Astyanax mexicanus: one gene and its partner. The protein of the gene in region 2 interacts with the protein of the main gene of each other region in a pairwise test. Links are inferred from orthologs where the notes say so. Each region holds a gene or a part of one and is shown on either strand. Other genes may lie near its edges. The genes, in order: mau2 and nipblb.

What was found.
Region 1: the proteins of nipblb (region 2) and mau2 interact in binary tests that used the Homo sapiens proteins (3 or more experiments, as listed by UniProt). The link is inferred for Astyanax mexicanus from reciprocal best matches to the Homo sapiens genes NIPBL and MAU2.

Annotation. Positions count from the first base shown.
Region 1 is NC_064411.1:47,985,801-47,993,949, forward strand, and holds the start of mau2 (MAU2 chromatid cohesion factor homolog), read right to left. Parts: upstream 3,229-8,149; 5' UTR 2,967-3,228; coding exon 2,733-2,966; intron 1,605-2,732; coding exon 1,587-1,604; intron 1,287-1,586; coding exon 1,221-1,286; intron 380-1,220; coding exon 284-379; intron 167-283; coding exon 72-166; intron 1-71. Other genes in the region: sugp1 (SURP and G-patch domain-containing protein 1), read right to left, coding at 5,596-5,622, 6,270-6,399, 6,788-6,933, 7,141-7,247, 8,078-8,149. UniProt on the Homo sapiens protein: Plays an important role in the loading of the cohesin complex on to DNA. Forms a heterodimeric complex (also known as cohesin loading complex) with NIPBL/SCC2 which mediates the loading of the cohesin complex onto chromatin.
Region 2 is NC_064427.1:4,596,245-4,603,906, forward strand, and holds the start of nipblb (nipped-B-like protein B), read right to left. Parts: upstream 3,251-7,662; 5' UTR 2,754-3,250; intron 1-2,753. UniProt on the Homo sapiens protein: Plays an important role in the loading of the cohesin complex on to DNA. Forms a heterodimeric complex (also known as cohesin loading complex) with MAU2/SCC4 which mediates the loading of the cohesin complex onto chromatin.

The DNA of each region.
Region 1 (8,149 bases), on a different chromosome or scaffold from region 2:
AAAATTAGACTTACTTCATTTATATAAAAAATATATTTTTCTAGACTGTTTTATAATATGATAATCCATGCCTGGTATATTCTGATCCCACGACTCTGGCATATTCTGCACCTACACCCAACAGGTCACACGCAGACACCAAGTCCTTCTCTAGTGTGTGCAGTTGCTACAAGAAAGTAAAGAAGAAGAAAAACACAGATGCTCAAGATAAAGCCTTGAAATGTTTCACTTGCTGTTAAAACATTGCAAAAAATGATGTAAAGGAATGCATGCCATCACTTACTGCTAGCTGGAATAACAATCTGCAGTGCCAATATGGAGTCTGCTGGGAGATCTGAATGGCTTTGCGTAGTAAAGGCTTAGCAGAATCAACCAAATTCTGTCAAGAAAGGAATAAAATGACATGGAATTTCTCAGATATAGACACCTACTCAATGAACATAAAGGGTATTAACAATGACTTTACCCCCCTTCACTGCAGTAACAAAATATAATGTGAAACTTGCCCAGAAGTGTATATGCTGTAACATCACTGTAAGAATTTGATGAAATTCAGCCACAAGAGAATCAGTAAGATCAGAAGATCTGTTGAATCAGCTGTTATTATTGTTCATCAATATTAACAACAATATTTACAATTCAATAAACTGTGGACTTTTAATGTCCAAAGTTTGGGTCCAGGGACAGTAATCTTAGACTAATGTGCGAGTGATCTAGATCTAGCAGTGGTTCACAACTCTCACTCTGGAGGACCCCATAATCTACAAAATGTAGTGTTTCCATCTCAAACACCACATTTACTGCTCAACATTATGTTAAATGCACATAGATTACAGGTTAAAATAATTTGCAGCAGCAAACAAACAAAACAAAAAAACGATTAAGTACCATCCAATATTGATTCTGTTCTTGAATATGAAATATATCCCCATTTTCCACAACAAATAATGACTTGAGGGAATGATAAGGTGCAACTTCCAAATCAAGAATTTGCATTTACCCAAACACTGATACTGCATGAATACAGAATCAACTCAGAAAGGGCTTGTAAATTAGCTGACAAGTTAGATCAGGTACATTGGGAACAGGACCAGGGTTGTAAATCGCTGTTCTAGAGCATCCTTGTTACGTAAATTTAGAAAAAAGCATACATACACTTCTGCAGACAGTGCAACCGTCCACAATACATTACGCAAAATTACACAAAATACAATTCTTACCTGTTGGCAATAGAGCTCCGAGAGGAGACTGGCAGCCTCAAATTTAACATCTTCAAACTGTGGGACCTGAGAACACTGGTTAAGGTTATATTTTTACTACAGATCTGACATGATTATAATCTCAGACAGCTATTTAACTGAAAGAACTGAAAAAAACACACTGAAGAAAGCCATTACTTGTGAAAACAAAAAGTTCAGCCATAATCTGTACCCTTCCTTTTGAGTTCTGCTTTAGGCAGTGAAACTGGAAGCTAATTGACAGTTTGCACAAGCACACACTGATTATACAGACATTTATACATATAACAAAGCTAGTCATCCAAATAAAGCGATTTTCTCCATTGTAGATGCATTGCAAAAGGATACTTGTTGCGAGATGCACCACTGAAAGAGATAAAGAAAGAATAAAAAAAGATAAATTAGTTATTAGGTACCTAGCTAGCAAGCAAACACAGTTAACTTACATCACCGAAAACAGCTAAGATTTACACACATAAACCATTCAAATAAACAACAGTAGCTAAGTAACTAACATTGAAACAGTTAAGAGTGAAAAATGATACACAAATATGATATTGGGACTAACTTACAGTACATTAGTTAGCTAGGGACTGGCTAATGTAGCATAGCTAGCTAAACTAGCTAGCTATAAGATACACTGAGAATACAGGAGTATTAAGGTTTTTTTTTTATACGTTTAAGACTTTATAATTCCACTCAACAAATAACAAAATAAGAACATGTTTAAAAGCAAGGAACACCAATATTAACTTCACAGACTAGAGTAAGCTAACGTACATCTCTGTATTTCCCCCAGTAAAAATTCAAAAACGACATTTCAAAGACGCATAAATTAGTTAATTGTTTAGCACACACGAGAAAATTAAGTTATGGTCCATTAGACATATGGTATTATGATTAATTGGGGTTATTTATCTTGATTTGTTAGTTAAATCACGTCAGCTTAGGTTAACTTAATTCAGTCTGCCTTTAAGTTACCGACAACTAAATCTGAAAGATGTTAAGCTAAGCTAGCTAGCTTAAGTTAGTATAAAACCTATTTTCTTCACTTTCTGTGTTGTGTAAGACTTTTGGGAAGATGTATTCAAGATATTTCAACATTAATTCAAGCTTAATTTTAAGCTAAAACCGTTTAAAACCTAATTTTCTAAGAATATGAGTAATATAGCTAGTTAGCTAGCCAGCTAAGGATCTGCAGATACCCTGATGTGTATATATAACCTACAAGCTAACTAGCGCTAGCTTTTGAATGGTAGCTAGCTTATGCTAGCTTTAGAGGAACATATAGCTTGTATAGGTACATTTAGGTTTGTTTTACGTGTATACTCTCTAGAAATAAGCTGTAATTATCGTTTACGCCCCAAACAACGTACTTAATGTGTCTATCTTAAAATTCACACAGTCAAAAGTCTAAAAAGCAGCACTTTCTGCACTGAGGCCTACACGCCCGCCTCTCCGCCGCATCCTCGGTGTTTCCTGATCTGCTCTTACCGCTTTTTCCAAATGACTCCGGGCCAAGTCGCTGTTCTTGGTGTGGTGGTACAAGACCGAGCCGAGCTGGAGGTGCGTTCGGGCTTCTACCCTCTGCGAAGGTTTAAACTGAAGCACAGCCTGGAGACAGTGCACACACAGACGTATTTTAGGTGGGCTCGACGTGCGAAAATGTTCCGCGAAGCCGAGCAGGGCGAGGTACCAGGACTCCGGGGCCTCAGCGCCAGTCGCCATTTTGACGACAATAACAACAAAAACAAGCCGCGGCCTGAACGGAGCTCCGCACAGGCGGCGAGAGTTCAGTGGAGTGGACTCAGGGGACGCTAGCTAAGATTTTACCCCCATTTCCAGCCTCTAAACTACTCTAAGAACTTGCTTTCCCCCGCACAGAGTCCTTCAGCTATCTACAATTTATCTGTACTCTCTATTTCGCTTATTTTTTCCCCTTTAAACCTGGTAAAAAAAGGGTAAAAAGCAGCTAAAGTGCTCTTCGCCGTCCCCCCACTCAGACACCCCAGATTCAGAAAGCAGATTCACACTCCTTTAGTGATACAATCCTCTGTTTCTTAGTGTTATTCAATAGAAATGACATTTATTAAGAATTCAGAGAGATTTCATAGTTTTTAGGACATATAGATAAAGATCATTTGTTGGGTCTTCACTACCAATGTAACATGCCTTTTGTGTTTATATAAAGTTCATAATACCAAAAGGACATTGAATTAATTGAAACATTAAAACAACTCTGTTCATCGTTATGGTTTTATTTATATATACTATTTGGTTGTACCGCCTTTAGCTTTGATTGTGGTACGCATTTACTATGGCATTTTTTTAATAAGCTTCTGCAATGTTACAAGACGTATTTAAATCCAGTGTTGCACTAATTTTCATCAAGATCTTGCAGCAGCATTGATGATGGTAGAGTCTGACTGCTGCACAAAGCAGCTCTTCTCCAGCACATCCCAAAGATTCTCAATGAGGTTAAGGTCCGGACTCTGTGGTGGTCAATATGTGTAAAAATTATGCTCATGCTCCCTGAACCATTTCTTTTACAACTCCAGAGCATTTTAAAATATGGCCGTGCCATCAGGCATGAAAAAAATCCATTGATGGAATATCCTGGTTCTTCAATATATTCAGGTAGTCGGCTGACCTCATTCTTTAAGCACATACTGTTGCTGAACCTAGACCTGAACAACTGCAGCAACCCTAGATCATTTGCTTAGTTAAATCCCATCCTTCTGCCTTTCTCTGAGTTATTGATACCGATGGATGATAATCTGGGAATGCCCCCGTACACATTAGGATTGTCATCCACTATCTAACCGCTCTGGTGGTCAACCTGGCATTATATAAATGTGGTTCTACACACAGATAACTATCATTTTCTGAAGTAAGGGATCCAACCAACACCTTGGGGTTGGGTTTGAGTGTTGCATGTGACCTTTGGCTCTTCCCCAAATCAGATCTGCCAGGGTCAGCAGCCAGACACTGACAATGTTGCATATTATCTGTTCTCCATAAATCTAGTCAAAAGTTATTCCATCTTTCTGCCTTTCTCTGACTGCCCAACTGTCTGGCCTCATACCAATGGAAGTCTTTGGAAGTCAGGCTTCCCAGTCACCCACCACAGATCAGCTTCCCACCGCCCAGTATATGCCACCTGCCTCTGATATGTTAACTCTCCACTACCAATTACATTAAAGTTTATATAAATTCTCATTAGAAATTTTCTAACTGTATGTGACTCATGTGGATGTATAATAACTTTTTAACATTAATTTATAAGTTGTCTGACAAGAGGAGGATGGGGCCCTTCTTATATATTAGCTATGCTTCCTCCCAAGGTTTCTTCCTCCTTTAGCTATGAGAGAGTTTTTCTTTGCCTTTATTGCTTACAGTTTCGTCTGATTCTCTGTTGACATCAAGCATCACTAAGCATGAACACTATAAAAGTAAATGATTTGATTTCAATGCAACCAAATCTTCACAGCACTAAAAGTAAAGTCTTTCTCAGTAGCCTATTGGTCTCACATTTGTGAAAGTCTAACAAGACTTAATGGTGACAGCATTAGCAAACATCACACAATGATGTGCGAAATAAAAATGAACTCTGCTTCTGGGGCTTCGTTTTGTACTATTTCTACTATTGTTGTGATGCTGCTTTTCCTTTTCCCTATATGTTTTACATGTGCTGAGAATTGTGGGTAACCATGGGATGTGAAGGATACATCAGTTGCATCCTCAAAATGAAAATATCCTTTTTTAACTGTATATGAAGCATCTTTAATTTGGGGACAGCCTAGTGACTAGGTTTCTATGTGGAGCCTGTTTAGGTGTTGTATGTCAGCAACACCTGTAACATGGTAAAACATAAAACACTGTGTTGGAGAACCATTTAAACCTTTATTTGAGGTCTACAGAACACATTACATTCAGTATATGACAACAAACAAGAGAGAAAACAGCTTTTTCACTGCTATAATGATGAATTCACTGTCAAGATACTGTCAAGACAATCGGCGCAGCTCAAAAGTTCAAGTGAAGTGTCCATTTGGATATTTGGAAAAAATACACAACCAGCTAAGATAACTCTGAATCTGAACTGTATGATTCTATGAAGTTGAAAGTTTTTATTTTTTAAAAAAGGGAACATGTGAAGGTTTGAGCCATTATCCTCTAAAATGTCTTTGAGCATGATCTACTGAAGCAAAAGGAAAAACGGGACATTTTCAAGTTCGGGCAAAGCATTAATACTCTGTAATACCATCACGGTGTGCATTTTAAACTGCACGTCCAAATGTCAAGGATGTCAAATATTAAAATAAAAAAACTACAGCACAATACAACTGCGATCCCTTCAGTAGTACGGCCTCCTTGGATTATTCTGGAGAGGGGAGAAAAAAAGATAATATCAGGACATAATAAAATAAATACTTAATTAAATTACAAAACAATGAGCAAATTAAAGGCAAGATTATTAATTAACGTACTGTTCAATACCTAAATATTGTCACAGTACTGAAGAATGGAAAAAATATTTTCAAAAATGGATTTGCATGATAGCAGCTATATATTATATGCAGATCATTTACATAACATACAAATCCCACTGGAAATTCTTTGTTTTTGTTTATTTTGTCTTTTGGCAAATGTCTGTCCACATAATCTGAGTAGCTAATTATTTCAACTTTTCCAGGATCTTATAAATATTTTCAGGACTTTTAACACTTCCTTTTGAGCAATTGCAAAAAAACTGGAAAAGTACTGTCAATTTTAAGGTTTTCCCATTTTTCTAGAACACTGCATTGTAATGGTTCATAAATAAAATAAATAACATACAAATTCAAATTTCATGATGATTATTTGATCTCTTGGGACAGTGAAAATGCACAAAGCATGTAGATCATGAAATACTACATTATGACTACATTCACCTATGTTCTGTGTTGCTCAATATATAAAGAATAGTGAATTGCAGATTCAGGTCCTGTGTGAATAATTCACACAAGCAAGCCTGTGCTCTTTACTGACCAGGGGATTAGGTCTGAAGCGGTAAGCCAGCATCATTCTCTTGCGGAAGGCGTCATACTCGTCATCATTTTTAGAGAGTTCTGCAGGTCGGTCCACTCCAAACCCTGCGCCGTCTACTGCAGTGGTTCCCCTGAAAAACACAAATGTGTTTAAAGCCATTGTTTTTTTCTGAAGAACCCTAGAAATCACATAAAGTAATATACTTGATAAAGAGCTCAGAGAGAAGCATATTTTACTACAGCAAAGAACATGCAAACACCTGCAGAACACAGGAATCTGAAGTAGAAATTGAAGAAATGATTGCCTATGTATTGGTACTAGATGATGTTTAGCCGAAATATGTGACTGGCTGTTGAACATCAAAGCTGGTCATGTGGGTGTATATGGGTGTTTATCATATTGACAGGTGAGACCAGCAATCAGTATCAGCCCCAGAAACACTGATCTGCCCTTCTCTTATCTGTAGTGTGAGAATTTAAGAAACTTTACTGTTGATTAAAGCTTTTGATAATTTTCACCTGTTAACAGGGTTCTTGATGCCCTGGCTTTCCGAGCCCAGACCTTCTCCTTCCTTCCAGCCCATCTTCATCAGCATCTTAAAACCAATGTTCTCCACTGTCAACTTGAACTCCTTATACTCAGAGTAATCTGGATCTCTGCCCTCCTACAGATCACAAAGACAAAAACAATATCACAGTCAGTTCAGATTCTTTTTGTAAACACCTTCAGACATAGAGCAACAGCACACAGCAGGAGGATCAATGTCTGAGGGGGTACAGCAGCACCATAAATATGATGTATGCAAAATAAAAAGTACTCTGAATACACTCTGGAGTTTAGCAGCAGGCTTTTATCGTTTTGTTAATCTCACCTTTAGAGCCTTAAATGTCTCCATGAACTTTTCCAGCTCGTCAGGTGGCAGAAAGTCACCAATGAAATGCTTCCCTTTCCCCATCTCAGTCAGCTGCTCTGCCCATTCTGCTCAGGATAACAAACAAATATAAAAACATTAGAGATACAATGAAAGTCGCAGGGTGCATATGATGACATTCCAAATAAATATATAATAATAATATTTAAAGTAAATACAGGGTTCATATACATTTTAACCAATAAATTTCCATGATATTTTCATGACTTTGCCTTCAAGGCAAATTTACGATCTTTAAAACATCAGTGCAGACATGGAAAATAAAACCAAAATTAAATCAACTAAAACTATAATTGAAATGGATTATAGTAGGGCTAAAACTAATTGGACACACAATCTTTAATAATAAAATGTGTGTCAGATCCTGAGAGCACCATTGTGTAGGGGTAAATTACTAAATAACTCTGAGCTGATGTATTCGTTAGCTCAAAGTAGCTTTTCTTCATCGATAAACAGAAACTTTGTAGACCAAATTTTCATGACTTTTCCACAAGTTTCTGGGTATTTTTATTTTTTTCAAAACTAATCCAGGCCTGGAAATTGCTATTTTCAAATTCCATGACTTTTCAATTTTTTTTGGGACCGTACGAACCCTGTAAATAGGACCAGGTTTTATTAGTCATGGGTGGTAAATTATGGTATTCTCATTATAATCATAGAATTACTTGCTTTCATTGGTGACTGTATATATGTTAGAATCTAGATATGTGCTATCAGTGTAATTATTCATAATGTATACTACAATATTTGACACTTTGAAATAATGTCATTGCATTTTTTTTTGCTTTCTTTTCAAATATGACTAATGCTTTTGTATGATGTGAGAAGCTGTGTAAATATAACATCTTTATAATTAACAGTTCAGGTAAACACTGACCTCTTGTTTTTTCCATCTCCATCTTCCTGAGTCTGTGCTCCCATGTTCCTGCCTGAGAGTCAACCTCTTCGT
Region 2 (7,662 bases):
CAGGAGACTAAAATCAAGCATAAACACAAACCTGAACATTGCTAACGTCAATACACATCCTGTGGAGGAGGAATATGTAAAAAAATATCTAACTAGTTAACTAGATTACATAGGTTAGCTATCAAACATTTAGTGGTGAGCTAAACACCCAGCTACTGACCACAATAGCCTGATGCTAACTAGTTAGCTACTTCAAAACACGAAACAACCGCCAGCTAATTAACTTGTCTAGGATTTGAAATTGAAAACAGGTGAAACAAATTCTCAAAAGTGCTCAAATATACCATGCAGATACATTTACCTATTTACTAAAAATTCCTCGACTAATGGCTTCAATTATGCAGCATATAACAGAAAATAAGCTAAGGCTAACACACAGAAAGAAGCAGGCTTTTTAATAATACTGGTGAAGTGAAAAGGCAACATGAACAGCATTTTTTCACAAAATATTTAGCTAACCTACCTACCAACAGCAAGTAAACCCAACTAGCGTGTAAAACTGTAGAAATGGGCTGTATATATGGAGCTGTGCACTTCTAAATCCAAGTTAGCCAGCTAGCCTCAACAATGTCAGACTCCTGATCCTCAGCTAAGCTAGCAAGCTGGCTTAGTTATGCAAGGCATTTAGCTAGCTGGGATAGCTAGCGAGCTAACAAGCAATAGTTTAGCTATTAACTCTCTCAGCCAACTGATGTAGCTAGTAAAGTCTAATTAGTTATATCTAGAAATGTCGTATAAACATTAGCCAACCACAAAAGCTACATTTACAGCTATTAAACCATTCAAACGGCACTGCACCCGGTGTAGCTGATATGGATTATAAACGGCCAAAATATGCTAAGCTAGCTAGCTAGTTTGCTTCTAATAGTGTAACAGAAATAAAACGCCTAAAAACACAGAAAAAATGAATATTCAATATTCAGCTGGTTCACTAGCTTAATAATTACACAGCTAACTTGATAACTAGCGTTGCAAGTTATTTAGCTAGTAGCAACCCCATTTGTTATTTGCATTTCAATGTATGCTAATGTGTGTTAGCCTAACTGAAACTGTGCCTAGGTCCTGCTTAATTCTGTATTCTGTGAGAGGGGAAAGTCGACTGAACCTTAAAAATATGTATGTGTAACTAGCTAAACTCTAAAAAGATTAAACACTAGCTACAACACATTCCATAACAAGCGAAAACAAGCCTGAGAAAGAGTGAAACACCTTTAACCTGTGTTGTTTTGTTTAGGTAGCAATCAACATGGTGTTGAGAACTCTGAAGCTTTTTCCAATTACAATGCGAGAGTCTGACTGACAAATCTCAGTGTACACAGCAAGCAGTGTTCTTCAAATTCAGTGCTGGAGGTCCAGTGTCCAGCATGGCTTGATGTAACCTACCTACACACAAACCTACTTACTACACATGGTAATTAATAACATAATTTTAGCCAGTTCTGGACACTGGCTCTTCACCGGACTAGATCTGAAGAAGCCTGGTGTACAGAAAACCCTGAAATAGCTAAGAGTATTTGTTTGGTTAGGTAGTTAGAAGCTATGCGATAGTCCTATCTTTAGCCAAATGTCGTTGGTTCAATTAAAATTACTTAACGTTACTGAATTATTCATTCGCCTTTTTATTCGACTCTTTAGCTGCGACCTTGTATACACTCTAGCTAGCTAGATTAGCTGTCCGTAATAATAATAATAATAATAATAAAAATAAAAAGCCTCTTGACTTAAATAAGCAATCTCCTGCGCCAGTGATTCAGATTCAGTGATATAGCTCGTTAGACAGATAGACTACACTGAATACACTGTTGTTTAGCTAGCAGACAGACAAGAAATATTTTTTTGAAAAGCTGCGTGTTGCTTATAATTAGTTAGCTAACAGAGTTAGTTAACGTCCAACACTTTTCCTTCTTGTTCACCATAAGCTAACATACACACACTAATCCTCCGCATTTGTGATTGGAATAACTGGAATTATAACTAGTTATCTAGTAAATGTCAAACAAGTGAACAAGTGAGCTGGAAGTAGAAAAACTAGCGTTAGCTAGCTAACTAGTTTTAGCTAACTCGCTCATTATTTATGTAGCTAGCTAACTGAATGGTGATGCCTGACCAAGACTCACTGACTCACACATACACACAGTAAGAGAGAGTGGGAGAAAACGAGAGAGACCTTTAACTAACCCTAGTCAACCTAACGCTAGCTGTTAAATTCTATGTTTAGTAAGAGCTAACGCCAGCTAACACATAGCTTAGTTAACCTAGCTAGCTAGTTTGTTAGTTAGCTAGTTAGCCAGACACACAGCTAACCTAGCTAACGCTAGCCAACATAGCTAGCTAGCTGTTAAGGCCCTTTCTTCTTCTCCCACCGAATGCAAGCAAGCAGGCTGGCTACGCATGTAGCTGGTTAAACTTCATTTGCTGAAAAACACAGAAGGCGAGCTCCCTGAAAAGAACTGATCCGCTGCCCAATTCCGTTTCAATGACTGCTTCGGCCTTGAAGCGAAGCCGCGGGCTTGCCTGGGGTCGCACACCCGCGGCCCGTTGCCCTACGTCGGCGCGCAAGGCAGCGAGTGTGCCGGCGGAAAGGTAGCTAGAGCCGCCGGCTAACGGCTAACAGCTAGCTAACGGCTAACCAAGCTAGCTAACAGCGATGAATAACACGCAAGTTTGGCCGATGCTCGGCTGCACCGTCCGGCCGTAATGCTGCTCCATCAGCGGAGATATATCTAACGAAGCAAACGGGTGTGGTTATTTACCTCTGGACGTGATGTTGGTTTTTTGGAAAAATAAAAAAAAGAAAGAAACGGTAGCGAAACCCGCTCCGGGTTTGAGTGTCTCTAGCTCCCCTCTCCGTTCACAGCTCCTCCGAGTAATATAACAACAATAATCCGGGTCGGGAGGGTTCGCTCTTCTTCCTTCTCACTGCAAACATGAAGGCTGGAGGGAGGTAAACATTCCCCGCGATCGCTGCTCCTTTCCGCCGGTCCTGCTCCAGCCAGCGCGGACCGTGGGTGGTTGTGTGTTGAAAAGGCGATTTTCGGGGGGTGTTTGGTGCGGCGGAGGGGGTAAGGAAAAGAGAAAACCCTGAAAGACTATTGACGCGGTGATAAAAGGATCCACTCAGACACTCTCCCCCCTTCTCTGGCAGAACAAAATGCCGACCGGAAGCGCTGCTGCAGGAATGACTCCCTCCACCGGCGCCAAACCAACCAGCAGCGACCCGCTGACTTCCGAGGCCACACCGCCAGCCTGCTAATGCTAGCCCGCTCCCCGCGTCCCCGCCGCCAGCCCCGCAGCCCAGCCTCAGCCGCTCACTTTCCTCCAGATACTGTTCTCACACCGTACCCATACTAATAACTTCTGGAAACAGTAGTGTAGATTTCCCACTGATAATAATGACAGTGAGTTCAGGGTCAGTGTGAGGTTTATGAATAATATTTTCTGACCTTTGAGGCTAAATTAGAAAATAAATTATTGGGTGCAAAACTTCAATATTTCATTTTTTCCATTCGGTAGTTATAATGAAGAAGATTTGGGCACTCATACATATTTTTTTAATTTTCTGAATGAACAATCTGAATTTTAGGGAAAATGAAAAAAATATATAAATTCAAATTGTTAAGGGTAAATGAAATGGAATATAAAAAAATAGAAAATTGAAAACACAAACAAATTGAATAAAAAGTATTTATTCAATTTGTTTGTGTTATAACAAAAGAAGCTGTATTTAATTATATCTTATATAGACTTTTGATACAAGATGCAGAAATGGGATGTTTTTTCTTATTTTTTTTTTAACAGATTATGAGAGATTTCTTTACATGTGAAATACATTTAAGATGTATTGTTTAATTTCAAAATGCTATTCAATAAGGAGGAATAGAAAGAAGAATTTGTGGACGTTTGCATACATTTTGAGTGCATTTATAAGCTCAGTATGGGCCATTTCACTCATATAACTTAATGTAATTTATGAAATGACTGTAAAGAAAAATAAAATATCCATAACTAGTTTACTGTTTTCGAATCCTGAAACCTCATGTCTTTACCTGTAGTGTATAACACAACCATTTTCAACGCACTTATGCACACACAAGATCCTCTTCATGTAGCTGTCTAGTTCTAAGCTCTAAGGTTCATATGAACTGCATAGCTTTGCTGCACATCACGTTGTATTAAGGCATCAAATTAGTTCTCTTCGTCTTGATCATTCTCTTAGTCTTGGAGTCCCACCTGAAATGTGCATTTTTAAGTTTTCCCACCTTAGTCATATAAATAGAATTTAAAAATTACTTCTTGAGATGGGAAACATGAATGGGGAAATACAGACCACAGATAAACCTTAATATGTTCTAAACTGTGTCTGCTTTAGTACACACCCTCTCAGAGGCGGTCTTTGCATAGAGGCATTGCTAGGCAACTGCCTTGGGCCCCTCCCACTGCAGCCCACTGTAGGGGCCCCCTGACTAGCTGCAAACTTCCCACAGACCTACAGCTGGTAATTGGGGCCCTTTGGACAGTAATTCACAGATAGTGCGTTCAGAAATGGTGATTCTTGTATGTTTAAAATGGAAACAAAGACAACACAATTAATTACAAAGGAATACAGATTCCGTCCACACCCCCTCTCTTTCGCGTTAAAATAGAATATTCCATCCATGCCGGTGAACCGCGAACGCTGCTTGTGAAAGACGGAATTAAGGTGAAATTAAGTGGGTTGTGAGAAGCCATGCTTCAAAAAGAAAAAAGAAGGAAGAGGCTAAACTAAAAACAGATGCTCTTCCAAAACTGATAAGCTTTTTTAGTGTGTCAGCACCACCTAACCCAAATGTTTTGGTGGAGGAGGGGGACTAGGAGGTGCCGTACTAGGGTTGTGTAGGTAGGGTAAATTCTATTATTTTTAGAAAAATAACAAACGAAAATAAACCCAATGTTAACAAAAATATAATCTAACGAATTTCAAAACATAGAAACGAAAAACGTTAAAATGGTATTGATATAACATAATATAATATAATATAATATAATATAATATAATATAATAACAGCTGGATCAAACAGTTTAGCATCAGTCACAAGAAAAGCGCGCTCTCTCTCTCTCTCTCTCTCTTCAGCGCGAGGCTAGAAATAATTTGAAAACTCATTTTAGTTTAATAAATTGAGATGAGTGAGGACCTGTAAAGTTAATCAAATATTTTCAAATATAAAGGATAAGTTGAGGTTTTGGGGAGCTGTTTCAATTATTTGAAACTGAAACTAACTGAAACTGATATTATTCTGCGCACTAGATATATCTATATATATATATCTATAGATTTTGATTGTGTTTTAAATGAGTTTGTATTTTATATTAATTATTTTTTATTCATTTTAAATCTTTTTAGTATTTTATTGATCAAACACCCTTACACAAACTCTGCCTCCTCTCATATTTTCACTGTACATTTTGATGTGATTGATAATTATTCTTTATCATTAAGGTCAGTTACAATTCTAGATAAAAATTACTGATTGACTCACACAAATGCTCTCAGTCACACTGCTTTACTTTTTTTGGCATTCGGATGTATATTTTATTTAAAGATATGTTTATTGATTGCACATATAAAAAGTACAATTAGAATTGAAAGCTTCAATGTTCTTTTTTTAACTATTTTTTAAAATAAATAACTTATTTCTCGCATATTAATGTTGATGGGCCCCCTAGCTAAATTCGCCTTGAGCCCCCAAATTGCTAAGTCCGCCACTGCACCCTCTTCCCACTGGTTACTTTAGTGTTTCTCATTTAAGAATGTCAAAAACTCACACAAAGGCTTATGTAAGTAAATTATCATAGCTGTGCCACCCATTAAAAACATGTGTTGACATTTGTGGATGTTTTAATTCCACTGACTTGAAATTAGCTGTTATTTTACACTGACTTTCATTTAAAGTTAAGATTTTTTTCTTTGAACAGTGATAAAATAAGCTAAATAAATGAGCTAAAACAATAAAAAAAACTCACCTGCCCATGTTTTATCATGACTACCCACACACAAGACATTACTGTTGCTGGATAATTCAAATGTTTCCAGTCCTAAAACTCAGAATCTCATATCTATTGCCCAGAATAATGTTGTTTCTTACATCAGTTAACCCTTGTAAAATTAAGGGTTAAATTTATAAAAAAATCCTTTCCGCTCACAGGGCGGTGCATTTAACATTTTGATACAGTCTACACTGCTGCTGTATTCTGCATGAACACACATTTCTCTGAACTGAGTCATCATTATGGTCAAGTACTTTTTTTAGGGAAAGGCAAGAAGTTAAATTCCTCTCTTCAAAAGTTTCCCAACTCTAGTGCTTACTCTAACAGTTCAGCTTTAAGGTTTCCTTCTCTAATTCACCTGATTTCTTTTATAAAGGACTAACTTATGATATTACTCAAATGTGAGGATTGTTAGACCATAGCATAAAATGTTTAGTTACCATCTTATTGATGGGACTAGGGCTTTCGTTTATGCACGTTTACTATCCAGGTAATCTATGGAGCCAGTAGTACTTAGCAATATTGTATAAAATGGCACAGCAATATTTTGTTTTTCTGAATCAGTTTCTCTTAGTTTGCTATTTATAGGTATTTGTTTAAGTAAAATGAACATTGTTGTTTTATTCTATAAACTACGAACAACATTTCTCCCAAATTCCACATAAAAATATTTTCATTTAAAGCATTTATTTGCAGAAAATGAAAAATGGAAATAACAAAAAAGACGCAGAGCTTTCAGACCTCAAATAATGCAAAGAAATCAAGATCATATTCTTTCAAGTTTTAAGAGTTCCGAAATCAATATTTGGTGGAATAACCCTGTTTTTTTAATCACAGTTTTCATTCATTTGGCATGTTCTCTTTTACCAGTCTTAAAAACTGCTTTTGGATAACTTTATGCTGCTTTACTCCTGGTGCAAATTCAATTCAGTTTAGCTTGGTTATTATGTTATTAAAGCAAAATCAATGATAAGCAGATCTAATCTGCCTCTGGTATAGATATATAAAGAAAAAATAAGATTTTTTTTCTTTTATACCAAGAAGCAAAGCACATGGTGTATTTTATTTAAAACAAGTTACCTAACTGCCTCAAACTTTAATTCAATCAAATAACTTAAACTGAGATCCACCAAAACACTAGCTTAGTTTATTCGTTTTCAGTCAACAGTGTTCGATAGATAATAATTCTCACACTCTGTCTTAAATATTTATCTTAAAATGTAGAGTTAAATTGAGTGATGGGCCTTTTATACATAAATAATAACCAAATTCTGCTTACCATTTCCTATGGTCTCCGTTTCCCCATCTGTGAATTTGCGCCTTTTCGCTCCCTCGCATTGAGTTCTCTTTCTTTCTTTTTTTTAATTAAGGGGTGAAAATAGCCTTGCTGTGTGGCACGTGCTATTTGCACCCGGGTGCAAATAGACACTCCGTTTATTTTTAATTAGTCTGTGACATTACCTATCCTATGGTGTGACTATAGTGCATGCTCAAATTGCAGTGACAATCCTAAAATGATATATAATGCAGCCCTACTTGCTGATACACTGAATGATACAGTTTTATAAAAAAAAAAAAATGGTCGAATATTTGAAACTGTGCAATTGCACATACAGTGGCTTGGGGCTTAGCTGTTT